Linked DNA regions of Kluyveromyces lactis. The protein of the gene in region 2 interacts with the protein of the main gene of each other region in a pairwise test. Links are inferred from orthologs where the notes say so. Each region holds a gene or a part of one and is shown on either strand. Other genes may lie near its edges.

Region 1 (4,691 bases), on a different chromosome or scaffold from region 2:
AACATAAAATGTTGGAAGAGTATGGTGAAGAACAGTATATGTATATCAGAAGAGATTACCTCGGAAAACCTCCAAAAGCAGATTTAAACAGGGAGATGGTACAAGATTTCGACCAAGGTGATACAGGATATGAATTTAAAGAACCAAACAGGCATGTTAAATATTTGGAGGAAGAGATTACTCATGATGAATTGCCCAATGGTGAGTCTTTGTGCGATGTCGTTCAAAGATTGAAACCATTGCTTGAAAATATGATTCTTCCGAACTTGAAGGAACGTGGTGACAGCCTTATAGTCGGTCATGGAAGCACAGTCCGTTCACTCTTAAAGATTTTAGAAGGCATTAGCGATACTGACATTAAGGAAGTCAATATTCCTAATGCCATTCCTTCAGTCATTGAACTAGATGATAATTTCAGATTTATTAGAAAATTCTACTTAGACCCAGAAAGTGCCAAAGTCAATGCAGAATTAGTTCGCCAGGAAGGATTCAAGGAATAAATATATAGATACAAGTCAACGGCACACATTATAAACTTTCTATGTTAATCAATAATTTCTATAGACATCGAATTGGGGTACATTCTCCTGTGGCAAGAAAAAAATGAGTTGAGAACAGAGAAAATATAGTATACCATCCGATATTGAGTACTCTATAGCAAATATATATATCAAGGTGTATTTACAGAATTACATATATGAGCAGAACTCCGATCAAGTCGAAGAAACGTAGAGAGAAAAAAACCAATTCGCCAAACTAAATACCCTTACAGTTAAGAGTTCTGATATTCAACGTTGTCCTTTGCGTATTGTATCACACGCTGTGCTTCGGTACCTTGTAGATTATGCTTGACTTTAACATGCCTACTTAGGGCATCATTTCTCGAAAAGGTTCTCTGATAGCCTTCAGATCCCAGTTCTTGAATGCAGATCAAACACCTGAATATTTTCTTCTTAGAAGCATGGATAGTTTTTTGGTGTCTGATTAAATCATACGGTCTTGAAAACTTCTTCATACATGGTTCGTTAGTGACTGGGTTGTTCACCATGCAGATATGCTCATCGTTCTGGTTGTGGGAATGATGAATGTGTGTGTGTGTATTTGAGGATCCATACGAACGGTCGACGCTTAGTAGGGCATCCACAGATTTACCACGTTGATGATTACCTCTATTTCTAGTCATGGTACGAGACCCTGTCGTGTTCGTTGATTTTGGATCCAGTTTATTATCACTGACCTCATGCGATTTCCGAGTATTTATGGTGAGAAGTTGTCTTTGTTTGTTAGAATTCTGTTGAGATATAACCATACTTGGTTTTCTTCTGGGACTCACCAGAGCAGGTTCGTATAAAGGATCCTCATCGTCCTCGCTGAACATAGCGTCACCCTCATCATCACCTTCTTCCTCTTCTTCTTCTAATTTTTCATTTTCTTCGAGTACAGAACTCTTGATTGACTCTATGCGAGGAACAGTTACCTGCGATAAATCCCTCTGTTGGTTTTCGTTCAATCGTTGTTGGGTATCCATGTATAACGACTCCTCATTCGATTTGGTAGAAACCTCCTCACTGTCAGAGAAATCGTCCTGTAAGTCATTCAGAATCTTGTCTGTTAATTCTGTGTTGTTTTTTCCTCCGTCTGCATTTTCCTCATACTCCCTCTCCTCCTCCTCTTCTTCTTCTTCTTCTTCATCCGAAAGATCATCATCGAAGTTGAATTCTTGGTCAAAACGAGACAGGGTATCCTGATCATTTGTCCAATAATACCCCGCCATGTTTTGGTCATCCCATAACGTAGCCTGAGCGGTCAATTTCTCATCCTCTTCGTACATGTTATTGAAATCACCATAACCCTCATTCAAAAACTCATCTTCGAATCCGTTTTCGTTGTTAATTCTCGTTTGGAAGTTAAACCCACGGACGCTGTTCAACCTTCCATTCGACATACCATTATGGTGGTTGTTTGGATTATTCTGAGGAATCTGTTGGGCATTTGGGAATCTTGCCGAAGACTGTAAGAAAGGATTTGGAGTAATCGTATTAAGTGAAATCGTTGGCTGCACTGGAGTTAAATTCAAATTAACCTGTTTCACAATGGCAGCTGGGCCCGTAGTTGCGGTTGGACCAGGACCAGTGGCAGGTACAGCACATCCGCTTTTCTTATCTAAAGTGGTCAAATTGGGATCAGCGTACTTGTTGAACACCCCACTTGCAGTATCATCATCAGACAAATGCAGATCATGACCCATGAGCTGGCCCATATTATACTGGTGTTGCGAGTGTCCCGACGAAAAATTGGGCCCGGTATAGAATGAATGCACCTGTGACCTCGTGAGTTGCGGAAACGAATCGTAGTGCGTTTCACCGAACCCCATATCTAAAGACATCGGGTTCGTATTGTGGATCCTCAACTCGTCATCAACCACATCCGTCAAAGTCCTTCTCAATTCCAAATCTGCAGCTGACATGGTCTGTTTCCTCTCTCTGTCTGTCTCTTTTTTTATTTGCTCCAATTACTAATTTATAATAGAGCTTATTAGCTTACTTCCTTAAAAATGTAACGAAAGGCCGTTTCCAGTATTCTTTCCCGAACAAATCCCTGGTTCTTTAATTACGAGGGCCTTCGGTGTACAGAGAGCTAAATACCTTACCTCCTTATTTCAAAGTACAGAATCCGCTCGTGCTTGCTTCATGTACCTCTATACCAACCAATATGATATATATATATATCGAAAACTCGTTTGGCTCTTTTATATTTCTATTTCTGTTTCTAGAGGATGAAGAACTGTAAAACACGATGAAAAGAAAGATACAAAATTGAAAAAAATGACAATTGTCACTGTGAGACATTCGTATGACAAATGGAAGCACTAAGAGCAAGAGCAAAGCAAGATAAAGGTTAGAGTATCGGGTGCACAAGCACCCGATACTGCTTTCAACTCAATGGATTTAGTAGCAGTATTTCCATGGAGTGATAGAGACTCTCTCTATAGTATATGACAATCTACCTCAGCATGCAACTGATAAGTCAGTTTGTTGGGTAATTGAGGCGATCTGTCGTTTCGTATGTATTTGTCAACACGTAATTCCTAAGCTGAATCCGGCGTTTAATGGAGGCGGGGTGAGGCTTTCCCTATCTGTTTCCGGGTAACATTTGGTAGCTTGCCATTTTCTTTTTCTTTCTAGATTGTTCTACCGCTAATGCGACTACCCTGCCAAGAAAAAAACAATTGTGTCACGTGTTACGCACGTGATGATCCGTCGGAATGTTTCAGGCGTCGCCAGACATACCATTAGCACTCTTTTATAATCTAAATTATGCATGAGTGCTAATGGTATGTTGTTATCTAACTTAGTTCTAAGTTGTATTTCCGGTTTATACAATTAGATTAGACGAGGTACTTATCTTTATCTGTTAGACAAGATTCAAGACTGAAAGTTACTTTTGATTCTGCATTAAAGTACTCTCTGATATTATTGGTTCTGGATATTCAATTTGTAATATCGTTTGTTCTTCTAATACGACTGCTATTTTGTAGGTACGCTTTGGAATATGTTACTCCATACTTACGTAGTTTTGGTAGAAAGTATACCCCCCCCTCCCCCTCAGATGGGTAATGGCCTTTGTTCTCTAATCTTTATGATCTGTGGTGTATCAAATTCCCAAGGCTAAGGAAATGTAAAACTTAAACTAAAGACAATAGGAATGTGAAACAAAAACAAACGAGATGCAGGAAAAAGAAAAGAATGTTCCAAGGCCAGTTGACCTGACTTTCTTGTCCTCTCATCTACCCATGAAACACCTTAGACCCCGCTCATGCTTATTGTTGTCCATTGTTTCAATTTACCTATTTTGGATCCTATTCCATAACATTCCCGCATTCCAGAATAGGGATAAATCCGTCAATACACCAACTGTACCGGCAGATTGGTCCACAGGATCACTGAGGCATCGGCTGTTGGCACATTTCAATTCTCAAAATGAGATTCCAAGAGATATCTGGCAATCTTGGAAATCAAAACAGAATCTTGATGTTAGGTTCCAGGAAAACGTGAGGCTTTGGTCATCCCAATCTGGATTCAATTACCATTTCCTCGATGATGATGAAATCGATGAATTCGTACGTACCCAATTTAAGCTGTTCCCAGAAATTATTCAGACCTGGGATACGTTGCCGAGAAAGATCTTGAAAGCTGATTATTTTAGATACCTCGTTTTATTGGCGAAAGGTGGATATTACAGCGATATAGATACTTCACCTTCTGTTAACATAGACGCTTGGCTTACAGATGGTCCGTTGGCCACATTGATGGCTGAAAATGATCTCTCCAAGACTGATGTCGGTGTCATAATTGGTATAGAGGAAGAACGGGATCTTGGTACTTGGAGAGGCCTTTTCAATAGAAGGATAAACCTATGTCAATGGACTTTAGCGAGTAGACCAGGTCATCCATTGTTTGTAGATGTCGTTGCAAAGATAGCTGATCTTGCATTGTATTACTATGATCCATCCACCAACGTATTGACTTTCCCAATGGGTTACAAGAACCTTTTCGACGTTCAACCTGCCTATAACATGTCGAAGGATTCTGCTAATTGGTATGAGGGTATCATAGAATGGACTGGTCCGGCCTCATTCACAGATAGCTTTTTCCGAACTATTAACCAGTGGTACATCGAAAACTTCAGTG
Region 2 (5,117 bases):
GAGTAGTGTGAGTGCATATGCGTTCTCCATTGAGAACTTCAATAGATCTCCTCAGGAAGTCGCGACTCTCATGGAACTCTTGGGATATTATATCGATCAGTTTACTGAACGTGCAACAAATGCTAAGGATGAGTTGTACGGAATTAGACTAAGAGTCGTAGGAGATCTTTCATTATTGAGTGAAGAGTTGCTCAAGAAGATTCGTAACGCAGAGAAATTGACTCGTGATGGACAAGAGTTCGTGTTGTACCTTGCCTTGCCCTACACATCGCGTAACGATATTGCACATTCTATGCAGGTTACCACCGACAAATGCATCAATTCTAACGAGGATATCACAGAACAAGCCTTGACTGATAACATGTATTTCGAACAGTACTCCAATAAATGTGATCTATTGATTAGAACAAGTGGACACACAAGGTTGTCAGATTATATGCTATGGCAGGTCCATGAAGGTAGTATTATCGAGTTTGTCGACTGTCTATGGCCAGATTTTAATTTCTGGAGGCTATATTGGATAATGTTGAAGTGGAGTTTCTACCAAACTTGGCAAAACGCCAGTCAGTTGCCAGATCCTGTTCGTACTAGAACTCGCGTGTTTCCAAAAATATCTGGAGCTCTACCGATTGAAACTTTGAAAAGAACTAAACGTGTTGCACTAGACTCTTTACCTGCCGCACCATTGGCCGTTTCCGTTGACCGGAAATGAAATCAGAATTTATTTTCCCCCATACCTCTGGCTATCCATATTACACTTTTACTTGCCCTCTTCATACTGACTGTATAACCGAAATTAAAGTCTCTTTCTTACACTAACCTTTTCACCACTTTCCTAGTAACTTTCTTCTTACGTTCGGTGGTTCTCGCCTCTTCAATCTTCCTGTTATAAACGTTGTACATTGCCACATCTGCTGTTAACACTAGAAGGCCACTGAATAGACAGAGCAATACCCTGACGTGAATATCCCATCCTGTTCTGGTCACGTACCAAACAGCGTAGATGGTTCCGAACACTGTCAATAATACATTGACTACTGCCGATACCTGCTCCTTAATCTCTTTGTTAATCTGTGCAATTGAGGGTTCCTTGTCAGCTGTTGAGCCGGCCAGATGCAATGAATCTCGCTTGAGCATCTCTTGGTACTCTTTCTCCTGTTGCAGTGCCTTCAGATTTTCCAACTCAGCTTTGAATGACTCAGAGTATCCCTCACCAGGAACTCTTTTCTCCTTGTATCGAAGTTTCCCACTCTTCAATAGCTGTTTCATACTTACGGTGGCATCATCCCTCCAGAACTGTTGGTACAATTCCGATAGAAGCTCAAATGATATGCTATTTTGTTGTAAACTTAACGATGCCCGATGATCTTCTTTCAACTTTTCAAGTCTTTGTCTTAAGAGCCCCTCGTCGATGGTAATGTCAAACATATGTAGAATTGTCTTATTGCTAGCCTTGCAGTAGATACAGACCCTAGTAGATAACTTCGTTTGCTATTTCATTCATAATTTCTCAAAGTTCCATTCTTCTTTCATTAGCACTAAACCTTTAAATTAATTATCTTTAACTGAGATGTTTTTGTTGATATTTGTCTATGCAATGGCAAATACAATATATGCACTGGATAAGAAAGAAACCATCACGAAATTAGTTGCTGCTACTGTACTGTTGATAGATAGATCGGCTAGTAAGTGATCGTGCTACTTGTACTATTTCAGTGTCTTTTGTTTCCTTTCAACTTCTCAGAGCTGATTATTATACCGATAAAAGGATTTAATCTGACACAAGCAAAGTAAACCATTGATAGAAGCCTGTATTAAGGGTGGCGATAAATACCTACTTCCAGATAATATAATCATATCTGGTGTGCATTAGCTGGAATTACGGTTTTTAAAGAATGCGAGAGACCAATTACAGATCGGTGACTGGTAATCGTGCTACCGTTAGTATATCTCAGACCGTTTACGATAGAAGAGCTTTGGATAATGTTTCTGATTTACCATTAATTAATTCATTGAACCATCTGGCGTTCCTATGCTCCACGTCGACCCTGATAAGAGAGGCAATGTCTCGTGACGGTGCGTTGGAGCGGTTGGTATCAATTTTACACGAATGTTATATCCCTATAACGAATTTGCCACAGGTTATGGTATCTTCGGCACAGAATCAATCCAATCCATTACAAACGGTCAAGAGAGACAGACATCTGGCATATTTATCATGGAAATGGACGTTGGCTTATCAGTGTTTGGTATTGACTGGTACGAGAGGTACACTTGGTATAAGAGAGCAAGTGGTGAAGTCCGGCATAATTCCGATTATTGCTACTGTATTGGATAACTATATGATCTATTGTAAGAATTTCGATTTCATCAACAATACGGCCATTCCCTTTACGTTTAGTGAACTAGCAGATTTGGATTCGGATCTATTCCAGTTTACGGACGATGAATTGAGGAAATCAAATGAGAAAGTGGATCCCAAGGACTCTTACTATAAGGATTTCATATCGATGGAAAGGTTGAAATTGTTATTGGGACCCACCGAGAACCAATTTGAATTTGACTTGGAGAATGTAGCTGGCCTACATTTGAAACCTAACTTTATTACAGAATTGGATACAGATTGGCAAAGTCTTGCTCAAGAAGAGTTATGTGTACCTTTACCGGGCTCTGCACTGGAAAATGTCATAATCTTGCCACCAAGAAGATTCTTTTTGGGTAAAGTGATTCCAGAGCTAGATGATGTTACATGGGCTGTACAACTTCTGGCATTCTTGACTAAAAACACTGCGGTGAAGCCAATACTACAGAATACAAATCTCGTCGGTACACTTTCGTTCAGGCCGATTCTTGAGAATGCAAAGATCAGAATGTCAAAAAATATGGAATTGGACATGACACCCCTAACGTTGCACGTTGCCGGCGAAGAAGAAGCGGATGATGAAGACGACGATGAATACGACGAAGAAACTGATGAACCTCCGGAGGATAAGATGGACCTTTCACCAGACCTCACTTTAATAGAAAAATACTTCAAAGAGATTGAGCATCTTTGCCTTGTGAAAGACACCGAAGAGGATGAAGAATATAACAACAACAATGTCGATATATTTGATTTCAGGTTGAGGAAGGAGGAGTCGTTACATGATAAATTCAAGGAATATTGCCAGCAGCATGAATTCTCGAAAGAATTGACCGATGATGACTGGGATAAGATTTTCAATAGTGACACAATGAACCTATTCGCCCTTGTAGAAAGGTTTACCGTCAAGGGCTCCTTAAACGAAATCGTGCACTACTGGAGCTCCGTGGTAATGAGAAACTCGTGCAGGAAACATGAGGCTACAGGAGTCAGGCAGTGTGCTAATTTCAGCTGTGGGAAATGGGAAGATCATCCAAAACAGTTCCCCAAATGTAGAAGGTGTAAGCGCACCAAATATTGCTCAAGACTGTGCCAACTGAAATCATGGGAATTTCATAGGTACTGGTGTCAAGAATCAAACTCAACAAACACCACTGGAAATAGTACAGGAGTTCAAACGCCTACCAGAGACGCTTCTGAATCAGACACGGATCCAGAACATCAGAATACCCATCATCACCACCATCATCATCAACCGCAACAACAAAACCCAACAGAAGCTACAACAATCCCTCCAACTACTCCTTCCACAACAGGCTTTGGAGATACGATCATCCCAACACCAAATACAACCACTGAGCGGTACCGAACACCAGGTGATACCGATCATCACCTTAGCGAGGACACCTAAAGATCTTTACGGTCACGTGTCTACTCATGATAACGTAATGGTCGGGTAACACCATTTCCCTCTTCAGCATCGCATGGTTTTTGCGAATTTGTTGGGATGTTGAGAAATCGGAAAGGCTCAACATACGTAAAAGTAAGAGAAGAGCAGTTGGTTTACGAATAGATGGTCATGAGATGACTTTATTGTTTTGAAATATAAGGTGTTGTTCAGGAGCCAGTGAAGATACATTTGGTGTTTTTTTCTTTTCACTAAGAACGCACTTTTGAAAGTTCCTGTTCAGGTTCACGGTTTTTTTATGTGATTTTTCTTCATAGTGGTGAAAGAGTTATAGCTCAATTGATCTGGAGACGATCGTTTGTTACAAGCTTTACCTTATAATTAAAAGTTTTACTAGAATCCGTTTACTTTGTTGTGCGATCAAGCGTTAAAACATGTCTAGCCAGTCTTCTTCTTCCCAGCTTTGGAGGTTAGCAAGACGCTACAGAGAAGTCATTGGGGTGTTCAATAAACTACAAAGAGAGCATGTAGGCGTCACTGCTGGTACTGGTAATGTAGGTTCCACGAATAAGAAATCTGTTCGTGTTAATACAGTACGTAAATCTACTGCTCCTATTGGTCTTCCCCTGCTTCAGATTGTTACTAATCTGCATAAGTTGTTCCCATTATCTTTCGCAGAGTCTCTTAAAGATTATAAACAATACAATATCAATAAAGAACAATTCCAAGAGGATTTATTATCAGTGTTACCGTACTATCCTGAGCCATCTGCGAGGTTTTCTTCCAAAATCATCAAGACTCCTATAGATGCTGCTGGTAATTACATTAACGAATTTCAAATCACACCGATACGGCCAGAAAGTGATGGAAAACCATTGAAACATATAATCTTGGTTCATGGGTATGGTGCTGGTTTAGGTTTTTACTTGAAAAACTTTAATGCGTTGCTATCAGAAAACGTGGTGGTACATGCCATCGATTTACCTGGTTATGGCTTCTCTTCGCGACCAATGTTCCCATTCCATTATCCAAAGGATTCGTATCTTGCGGTAGAAGACTACTTCCATGATGCCTTGCACAAATGGTTCGATAAAAAAGGACTTATATCATGTTGGGAAAATAATTACGTGATTGCACATTCGATGGGTGCATACATATTCTCGCTTTATGCCAACAAGTATAAACATTTCAAAAAGTTATTCATGTGCTCTCCTGGAGGAATTTCCAGGAACAAAGATATGCCCCCTCCTCCATGGTGGTTTTTAAAGCTATGGGATCAAAATATTTCACCGTTCTCGTTGGTTCGAAATGCTGGCCATGTGGGCTCAAAATTAGTTAGTGGGTGGA

The links. The genes of interacting proteins can lie anywhere in the genome.
Region 1: the proteins of MUB1 (region 2) and RPN4 interact in binary tests that used the Saccharomyces cerevisiae proteins (3 or more experiments, as listed by UniProt). The link is inferred for Kluyveromyces lactis from reciprocal best matches to the Saccharomyces cerevisiae genes MUB1 and RPN4.

What each region holds. Positions count from the first base shown.
Region 1 is NC_006039.1:371,981-376,671, forward strand, and holds RPN4 (stress-regulated transcription factor RPN4), read right to left. Parts: upstream 2,468-4,691; coding exon 773-2,467; downstream 1-772. Other genes in the region: phosphoglycerate mutase family protein GPM3, read left to right, coding at 1-500; KLLA0_C04125g (glycosyltransferase family 32 protein), read left to right, coding at 3,728-4,691. UniProt on the Saccharomyces cerevisiae protein: Acts as a transcriptional activator of a number of genes encoding proteasomal subunits. Binds to a PACE (proteasome-associated control element) DNA sequence 5'-GGTGGCAAA-3'.
Region 2 is NC_006038.1:1,122,771-1,127,887, forward strand, and holds MUB1 (MYND-type zinc finger protein MUB1), read left to right. Parts: upstream 1-1,895; coding exon 1,896-3,773; downstream 3,774-5,117. Other genes in the region: SRT1 (ditrans,polycis-polyprenyl diphosphate synthase), read left to right, coding at 1-712; VPH2 (Vph2p), read right to left, coding at 811-1,428; CLD1 (carboxylic ester hydrolase), read left to right, coding at 4,205-5,117. UniProt on the Saccharomyces cerevisiae protein: Involved in the determination of the onset of polarized growth. Required for the ubiquitin-dependent degradation of RPN4. Cooperates with UBR2 to transfer ubiquitin from RAD6 to RPN4.